Macaca fascicularis: one gene and its partner. The main gene of each other region encodes a partner of the protein of the gene in region 2 in a complex. Links are inferred from orthologs where the notes say so. Each region holds a gene or a part of one and is shown on either strand. Other genes may lie near its edges.

Region 1 (4,377 bases), on a different chromosome or scaffold from region 2:
GGAAGCCAAGGCGGGCGGATCACCTGAGGTCAGGAATTTGAGATCAGCCTGGCCAACATGGTGAAACCCTGTCTCTACTAAAAATGCAAAAAAAAAAAGAAAGAAAGAAAAATTAGCTGGGCATGGTGGCAGGCACCTGTAATCCCAGCTACTCTGGAGGCTGAGGCAGGAGAATAGCTTGAACCCAGGAGGTGGAGGTTGCAGTGAGCTGAGATCACACCACTGCACTCCAGCCTGGGTGACAAGAGCGAGACTCCGTTTCAAGAAAAAAAAAAAAAAAAAAGAGAGATGGCCAAAGGTCAAAGGATTCAGGTCTAAGGACCCATTCCATCCCATCCTACTGTCTCCCACCAGGAAGGTACCTGCTGCAATAGGTCTTCACCAGTTCTGCCAAGCACAGAGATGGCACATCCAGTCCCAGGAGCTTTACTATCTGCATGTAAATGCTAGAAAACACATCCAAATCTGCATACAACAGCGTGCAGATGGCTCCCATTGTTAGGGGCCAGTTATGCTGTCGGCAGGTGATTAAGACGCAGCACCCAACCAACACCTCCTTCTTTTGCAGCCTGGCTGCTCGGATGCCAGAGTGCCGGTATGCCTGTTGGTAGTAGGCAACCGCGGTGTCCTCAAATGTTGGTGGCAACTGCAGAACTCGACAAAGGTCTCTCACTCGGCGGAGACCTAGGAAAAACCCACAGCAAAAGTTAGAGGGGTCAAAGGAGCTATCGGGCACCTCCTAGAAAATTCTGCTAGGACTCATTTAGATCTGCTAAACTTGCCTCAGATATCAGACGCACAAATTATGTACCTTTCTGGATAGACAGGAGTGACACTTGGTACAGTCATTCTAAAGACACAAAAACATCTGTGTAAAGAAGTCACATTTCAGCCCACTAGTTTTTGCAGGCTGATTTGATTCAGGGCCAAGCCAGTTTTATCCAGGCTCTTAAAGGCTACCTCAAACATACATCTGATCAAACCCAAACCTTATACTGAATTGCTGCCTCTCTCAGAACCATCCCTGTTTTATTTTATTTCATTTTATTTCATTTATTTTATTTTCTGAGACAGAGTCTGGCTCAGTTGCCCAGGCTGGAGTGCAGTGGTGCCATCTTGGCTCACTGAAACCTCCTCCTTTTGGGTTCAAGCGATTCTCCTGCCTCAGCCTCCCGAGTAGCTGGGATAACAGGTGTGCACCACCAGGCCCAACTAATTTTTGTATTTTTAGTAGAGGCGGGGTTTCACCATGTTGGCCAGGCTGGTCTTGAACTCCTGGCCTCAAGCGATCTGCCTGTCTCAGCCTCCCAAAGTCTGGGATTACAGGTGTCAGCCACCATCCCCATTTTAAATTCCTAATTACCATTCTCTTCTACTCTACCTCACACCAGCAATGCTGAAAATAGGAAAAGTGAAAAGCTGGACTAGGCCACCAGGATAGTTTTCTTTTTTTAATTATTATTTTTTTGAGACAGACTGTCACTCTGTCACCCAGGCTACAGTGCAGTGGCACAATCTCAGCTCACTGCAATCTCTACCTCCCAGGTCCAAGTGATTCTCCTGCCTCAGCCTCCCAAGTAGCTGGGACTACAGGTACGAGCCACCATGCCCAGCTAATTTTTGTATTTTTAGTAGAGATGGGGTTTCGCTATGTTTGCCAGGCTGGTCTCGAACTCCTGACCTCAGGTGATCCACCTGCCTTGGCCTCCCAAAGTGCTGAGATTACAAGATTACAGGCGTGAGCCACAGCACCCAGCCTAGGATAGTTTTCTTTAAAGCTACTGTGTTGTAAAAGGTCAATTCTCACCTCGTTGCTGGCTGCGACTAATTTGTTCATTTTCCCCTGTGCTTCGGGAATATGTTACCTCTGTAAAATAATAAACAACAAATAGTGTGCTTAGCCTTTATACATCAGACCCCTGCCCTCCCACCACACAAAACCAGGACGCAGAATTCAAATCATTGAGCATCTGCTGCTGCACAGTTAAAGGCCCCATCTGATTTTCTGTCTACAAGCGGTTCCGAATACACAGAGACTGGGAAAGGTGAGGACTGCACTAAAGCAGCTCCAAGTGTTCCAAATTTCCAGTCATCCTTCCAGTACATTCCATACAGGCAATTTTTCTAGTAGCAGATTTTTTTTTGTTGTTTGTTTAAGGAGTCTCCCTCTATAGCCCAGGCTGGAGTGCAGTGGTGCAATCATAGCTCACGGCAGCCTTCAATTCCCAGGCTCAAGCAGGCCTCCTAACTCAGACTCCTGGGTAGCTGGGATTACAGGTGTATGCCACCACACCTGGCTAATTCTTAATTTTTTTTTTTTAGGCAAGTATCTCGTTACGTTGCCGAGGCTGGTCTTGAACTCCTGGGCTCAAGCATTCCTCTCGGCTCTGCCTCCCAAAGCGCTGGGATTACAGGCTTAAGCCACTCCACCCAGACAATGGCTGCAGATTTTGAGGGCTGCCATGGTCAGAAACTTGGAAAGCAAAGCAAAGTAATGTTTTTCCAGTTTGTGCTTAAAACTATTTCAGGGTAATAATACATGCTATAATCATATCGGCAATCCTTCCACAATGACCAGATATGGCAAGATGAGTGGAACTTTCTGTGTCACTTACTCAACATTTATTACCCTCTCCATCTATGCCCTACACTAAGTGCTGGAAAAACACAGATGAATGGCAGCCCCCATCTCCTTCGGCTCCCTCGCTCACTTTAGGTCATTTTCTCTCATATTAGGAGTGCGCGTTACAGTTAGGAGTATGCGGGGGGAGCGGGGAGACAAAAGGAATCTGATGTTAATCCCTCCACCGCCCCAGGCTGTCCCCAGGGCCACAAGTACCTCGGAGATTGCCCTCGTCGCTGAAGGTAGTGGTCAGGACCCCCTCGGTGACCACGCAGCCGCAGTCGGAGCACACCAGCTGGCTCTGCGAATAGTGTGAGTCTTCCACCAGCTCCGTGGAGCCGCAGTCAGGGCAGCGGCCTCTGCCTGGCATCTCACAACCGGCCCCAAAGCCGCGGAAGCCTTCGGAGACTCCTGCGTCTGCAACAGCAACCGTGCGGCAGCAAAAAGTAGGAGGGGACCCTTCAGAGGGTTGCACCTTCGTCTTCCGGCCAGCGCCACGGCGGGATAGGCGGTTCCCTCCGCGGGGAGGCTGAGCGCCACTTCCGGTCGGTTCCTCCGCGGGCTCGGGTAGAAACGTGAGCTAGGAGAGGAGGTTCCTGGTCTGAACTGTAGCTCTCTGGTTTCCCTGCTCTGTGTAGTTAGTTTTTGGGACCCAGACTGGGGCTTGAATTTGGGTAGGTTTCTGCCTACATGGACACGTATAATAGACAGGAGATTGTTGTCACCCCTGAACAACCCTCCTTTTAAAGTCCTAAGGCAATCGCAGGTTGGTAATGAATGTTTAATTTGGCCATAGAAGAAAGTATATTTTTTAAAGGGAGAGTAGTGGAGAGAGAGCGAGAGCAGGAAACTGTGTTCTGCTTTCCAGAGCTGCTTCCTAAAGCAGGTACCTTCCTCTCTTTACCTCCTGTTTTTCTCAACTGTAAAATGAGGAAGTTGAAATAAAATCCGGAGTGGCAAACCCAAATGCTTTTGGAGGCCAGGCAGGAATGTCTAAAGGAGTTTGGAGTGAACGAATGTGGAGTGATGGAGCTTTTGGCAACCTGGAGGAGTGCAAGCACGCGGATTCAGATGTTCCTTAAAAAAAACCTTGAGCTAGCCGGGCGTGGTGGCTCACGCCTGTAATCCCAGCACTTTGGGAGGCCGAGGCAGGTGGATCACCTGAGCTCGGGAGTTTGAGACCAGCCTGGGGAACATGGTGAAATCCCGTCTCTACTGAAAATACACAAAAATTAGCTGGGCGTGGTGGTGCACGTCTCTAATCCCAGCTACTCGGGAGGCTGACGCAGGAGAATCGCTTGAACCCAGGAAGCGCACGTTGCAGTGCGCTGAGATCGCGCCACTGCACTCCAGCCTGGGTGGCAGAGCGAGACTCCGTCTCAAACAAAACAAAACATACCTTTATGAAGTGCCAGTCCCTTCTTTTCCACACCCAGTTTTTACGCGTGATATCCAAACCTAAAAACACCATCCCCTCCCTAAGAGACTGCTTTCTCAGAGTGTGAGAATCACTACTCCTTTTCAAAGACATCCCATCCATTCCCATGGGGCTTGATCACATTGGAGGGCCAAGGGACACAATAATACCCAAGGGTCCTTTCTCTTCCATTTGAATTACTTTAGTATCATAACAGAAGGGGGCTTCAGGACATTAATAATGGTGGGCTTTGGCAGTCCAAGCCCCCCACCCTTTTCTAGACCTCCCCACTAGCGTGAGATATAGGATGAGAGTTTATTTCTGGCTGTCTGACAGT
Region 2 (3,816 bases):
TAAAAGGAATATGGCTTTTATCCTTTGAATGTACATGAGGAAGTATACATACCCCTACTGAAGAAAAAAAAAAAAAAATTAAAATGGACCAAATTAGATGCTCAAAATAAATTCTTCAACATTTAGTAACTGTAAAATTCTGTATTATTAAAGTTTGCTTCATTTGTGTGGCAGCAATAGAAAAAGATTTAAAAAATAAATAAAGTTTGCTCTTGTTGGCTATAAATTTAAATTTATGATCTCCCTATTTCATGCCAGGGATTTGACCTATTGTGAGCTTAATAATCCTTATAGACTGAAATTTTATGCAATTATTAGTAAAAATGAGTCCTTTTGTTATTTTGAGTAATTATATAATCTCAGATGGATTTCAAGATAGACGGCACTGCCAGCATTTAAGATTTTTAAAACCTTTATGTTCTATGTGTACTTTATGTTCTATATGTTTCTGACAGGCTCTACTGCAATACTCTGCCACTAAGAAAGGAGCCCTATACAGAACACAAACCAGAGACTTTCCTGATAAATATATGGTTCCAAGCCTAAAAGTCTAATACGTTTTTACCTATCTACTTTGGAGACAGGGTCTCACTTTGTCACCCAGGCTGGAGTGCAGTGGCACGATCTCAGCTCACTGCAGTCTTGACCTCCTGAGCTCAAGCGATCCTCTCACCTCAGCTTCCCAAGCAGCTAGCACTACAGGCGTACACCACCATGCCTGTCTAATTTTTTGTATTTTTTATAGAGACAGAGTTCCACTCCTGAAGTCAAGCATTCACCAGCCTTGGCCTCCCAAAGTGCTGGGACTATAGGCTTGAGCTGCCGCATCCGGCCCAAAAGTCTATTACTTAAAATGAATGGAGGCTAGCGCAGTGGCTCATGCCTGTAATCCCAGCACTTTGGGAGGCCAAGGCAGATGGATCACCTGAGGTCTGGAGTTCGAGACTAGCCTGGCCAAGTGAAACCCCAACTCCACTAAAAACACAAAAATTAGCTGGGCATGGTGGCAGGTGCCTGTAATCCCAACTACTCGAGAGGCTGAGGCAGGAGAGTTGCTTGAACCTGGGCAGCAGAGGTTGCAGCGAGCCGAGATTGCGCCATTGCACTCCAGCCTGGGTGACAAAAGTGAGACTCTGCTTCAAATAAATAAATAAATAAAGATGAATGGTAGGCTACTCATAATCAAACTCCGTCTCAAATAAATAAGTAAATAAAATGAACGGTAGAGTACTCATAACCAAGCAAAATAATTACCAGGAATAGTATAATTACTCATTTCATGCACTTAAAAGATAGTTAGATAGTAAAGATTTATCACCTGTCTGTGATTTCCGTCTAATAAATTAAAAATCTTGGTTGATAAATCTTTTGGCTCTGTCCAAACTGAGAACAGTTTAAACTAAATTATTTCAATGAGTGCTATTGTCTCTTTGTACCGTATTTGTCATCTAATTGTGAATACCATCCCAAGCAGCAACTCCTTGGCTAAAGACACATGTATAAAGTGATCAATGATCAATGAGCTCAGTTAACCAATGACATTCATGATGGTAATGGCAGTATTCACTAGAGCAACTATTCCATGAATATGAATTATTCTTTTTATTTATTTATTTGTTTGTTTGTTTATTTTTTGAGACACAGTCTCGCTCTGTTGCCCAGGCTGGAGTGCAGTGGTGCAATCTCGGCTCACTGCAAGCTCCACCTCCCAGGTTCCAGGTTCACGCCATTCTCCTGCCTCAGCCTCCCAAGTAGCTGGGACTATAGGCGTCCGCCACCATGACCGGCTAATTTTTTGTATTTTTAGTAGAGATGGGGTTTCACAGTGTTAGCCAGGATGGTCTTGATCTCCTGACCTCCTGATCCACCCGCCTTGACCTCCCAAAGTGCTGGGATTACAGGTGTGAGCCACCATGCCCGGCTTGAATACAAATTATTCTTAATAAACCAAGTGTACGATCTTGAATTGGCTGTCACTATACCTAAACAGTAGTCAAATAGTGGATAGATCAATATATACATATCACATTTTATGGAAGAACAACAAAATGGAGACAACTTCAAATGTAAAAGGGTTATTACTCAAATGTGGGTATAATTTCTTTTTTTTTTTTTTTTTTTTTTTGAGACGGAGTCTCACTCTGTCACCCAGGCTGGAGTGCAGTGGCCGGATCTCAGCTCACTGCAAGCTCCGCCTCCCGGGTTCACGCCATTCTCCTACCTCAGCCTCCCGAGTAGCTGGGACTACAGGCGCCTGCCACCTCGCCCGGCTAAGTTTTTGTATTTTTAGTAGAGACGGGGTTTCACTGTGTTAGCCAGGATGGTCTCGATCTCCTGACCTCATGATCCGCCCGTCTCGGCCTCCCAAAGTGCTGGGATTACAGGCTTGAGCCACCGCGCCCGGCCAAATGTGGGTATAATTTCTTAAAAGTTAGGTTTTAAAAGTTTCTATTTTTGGTAGGACTTAGCTTTCATTCTTACCATCACCCTGTTCAGTACTGATCTCTGATTGCAATACTAGATCTCCCATTGTAAGTAAAGTTATTGCAGCTTCAGTGCTTCCATCACTGGTACCTTGTGAGGAAATATATCAACATTAAAACAAAAGAATGAATCTGGAAATCTGTTCACTTAAAAAATATTTTTAATTGAGGTGTTTATCTCCTAGTAGCAGATTCCAATATCCTCTGAACCATTAATCCCTTAATAGGGTAGTCTTTTGTTCAGGTTATATGTTACAGATAAATAAATCATCACTGTTGGTTTTGACTCACTGACCATGCCTCCCTCCCATTAAATAATATCTTCAAGGAAAATGCTCTCCCATTTGTACAGATCCAGAGGAAACGCTCAAATATTTCTTAAACATTTAACTTTTAATTCACCTTCTAAAATAACATTCTAAGAATCCACATTTCTCACAGAGATAACACATTCAATAGCTGAATCTTTTTGTTAAACTCTCCAGCAAACTGATTCATTTATTATCCCCACTATTAAATGATTGTACTAGTGTTAATCAAGGTAGTCTTAGCAGTTTCCTTGATAACAGTTACCTGGTTCATCTTGGATATGTTCACCTGTGGTCATTTCCTAAAAATGAAAAAAATAAGTAATATCTTAAATATTTCTCCAAACATGTTCTGTTTCTCAACACGCACTACATTTTTAGAGGTCTTTCCATACTTTGAGTTACAATAGCATAAACTGGTTTGTCTTAATTTATAATTATTCACAAAATTTCACCAGCAAGAACAGAAATAATTTAAAGGCAAAATTTTTGTGTCTCTTGCTCCTGATTTTATCTTTATATTGTATTATGTGCAAATTTTAACTCTTATCATATTGTTATGTATGTCTACCATTCTTACTTTACTTCTTCATTTTCATAATCCTTCAACTCTAGTCATATCTGCTGCCAATTTTTACCAATGGAAACCAAGGCCTGAAGGGTATTGCAAAATTTTTATAATCCTACGTAGCTTAAAACTTAAACGCATTTTAATAAATTAAGAAGTTACAGAACCAATGTCCAGAGCGACAGCTTGAGAAGCTTCACTGACCCACTCCTCAGTGAAACCGATTTTAAAAACAAAACATTTAACAGCCTCTGAAAATGATCCTAGCGACAAAAAGCAAACGAAGAAATATCTGTTCAAGAAAATCTGAAAATTTGCTAACAAAGGTGAGAGTCTATGTGAACCAAAACTGCTCTCTCTCTCCTTCCTCCCAGCTCAGCATGGCAGAGACTCCACCTCAAACTGCTGCACCCAAAAATACAAGGCCCCCGGTCCCCAAGGTCCCACCTGGAGAGCA

The links.
Region 1: BDP1 (region 2) and BRF2 share a complex: the UniProt entries of both Homo sapiens proteins name them as parts of the TFIIIB complex. The link is inferred for Macaca fascicularis from reciprocal best matches to the Homo sapiens genes BDP1 and BRF2.

Annotation. Positions count from the first base shown.
Region 1 is NC_088382.1:41,227,205-41,231,581, forward strand, and holds the start of BRF2 (transcription factor IIIB 50 kDa subunit), read right to left. Parts: upstream 3,087-4,377; 5' UTR 2,994-3,086; coding exon 2,840-2,993; intron 1,868-2,839; coding exon 1,808-1,867; intron 685-1,807; coding exon 363-684; intron 1-362. UniProt on the Homo sapiens protein: General activator of RNA polymerase III transcription. Factor exclusively required for RNA polymerase III transcription of genes with promoter elements upstream of the initiation sites.
Region 2 is NC_088380.1:75,497,653-75,501,468, reverse strand, and holds part of BDP1 (transcription factor TFIIIB component B'' homolog), read right to left. Parts: intron 3,094-3,816; coding exon 3,057-3,093; intron 2,575-3,056; coding exon 2,482-2,574; intron 58-2,481; coding exon 1-57. UniProt on the Homo sapiens protein: General activator of RNA polymerase III transcription. Requires for transcription from all three types of polymerase III promoters. Requires for transcription of genes with internal promoter elements and with promoter elements upstream of the initiation site.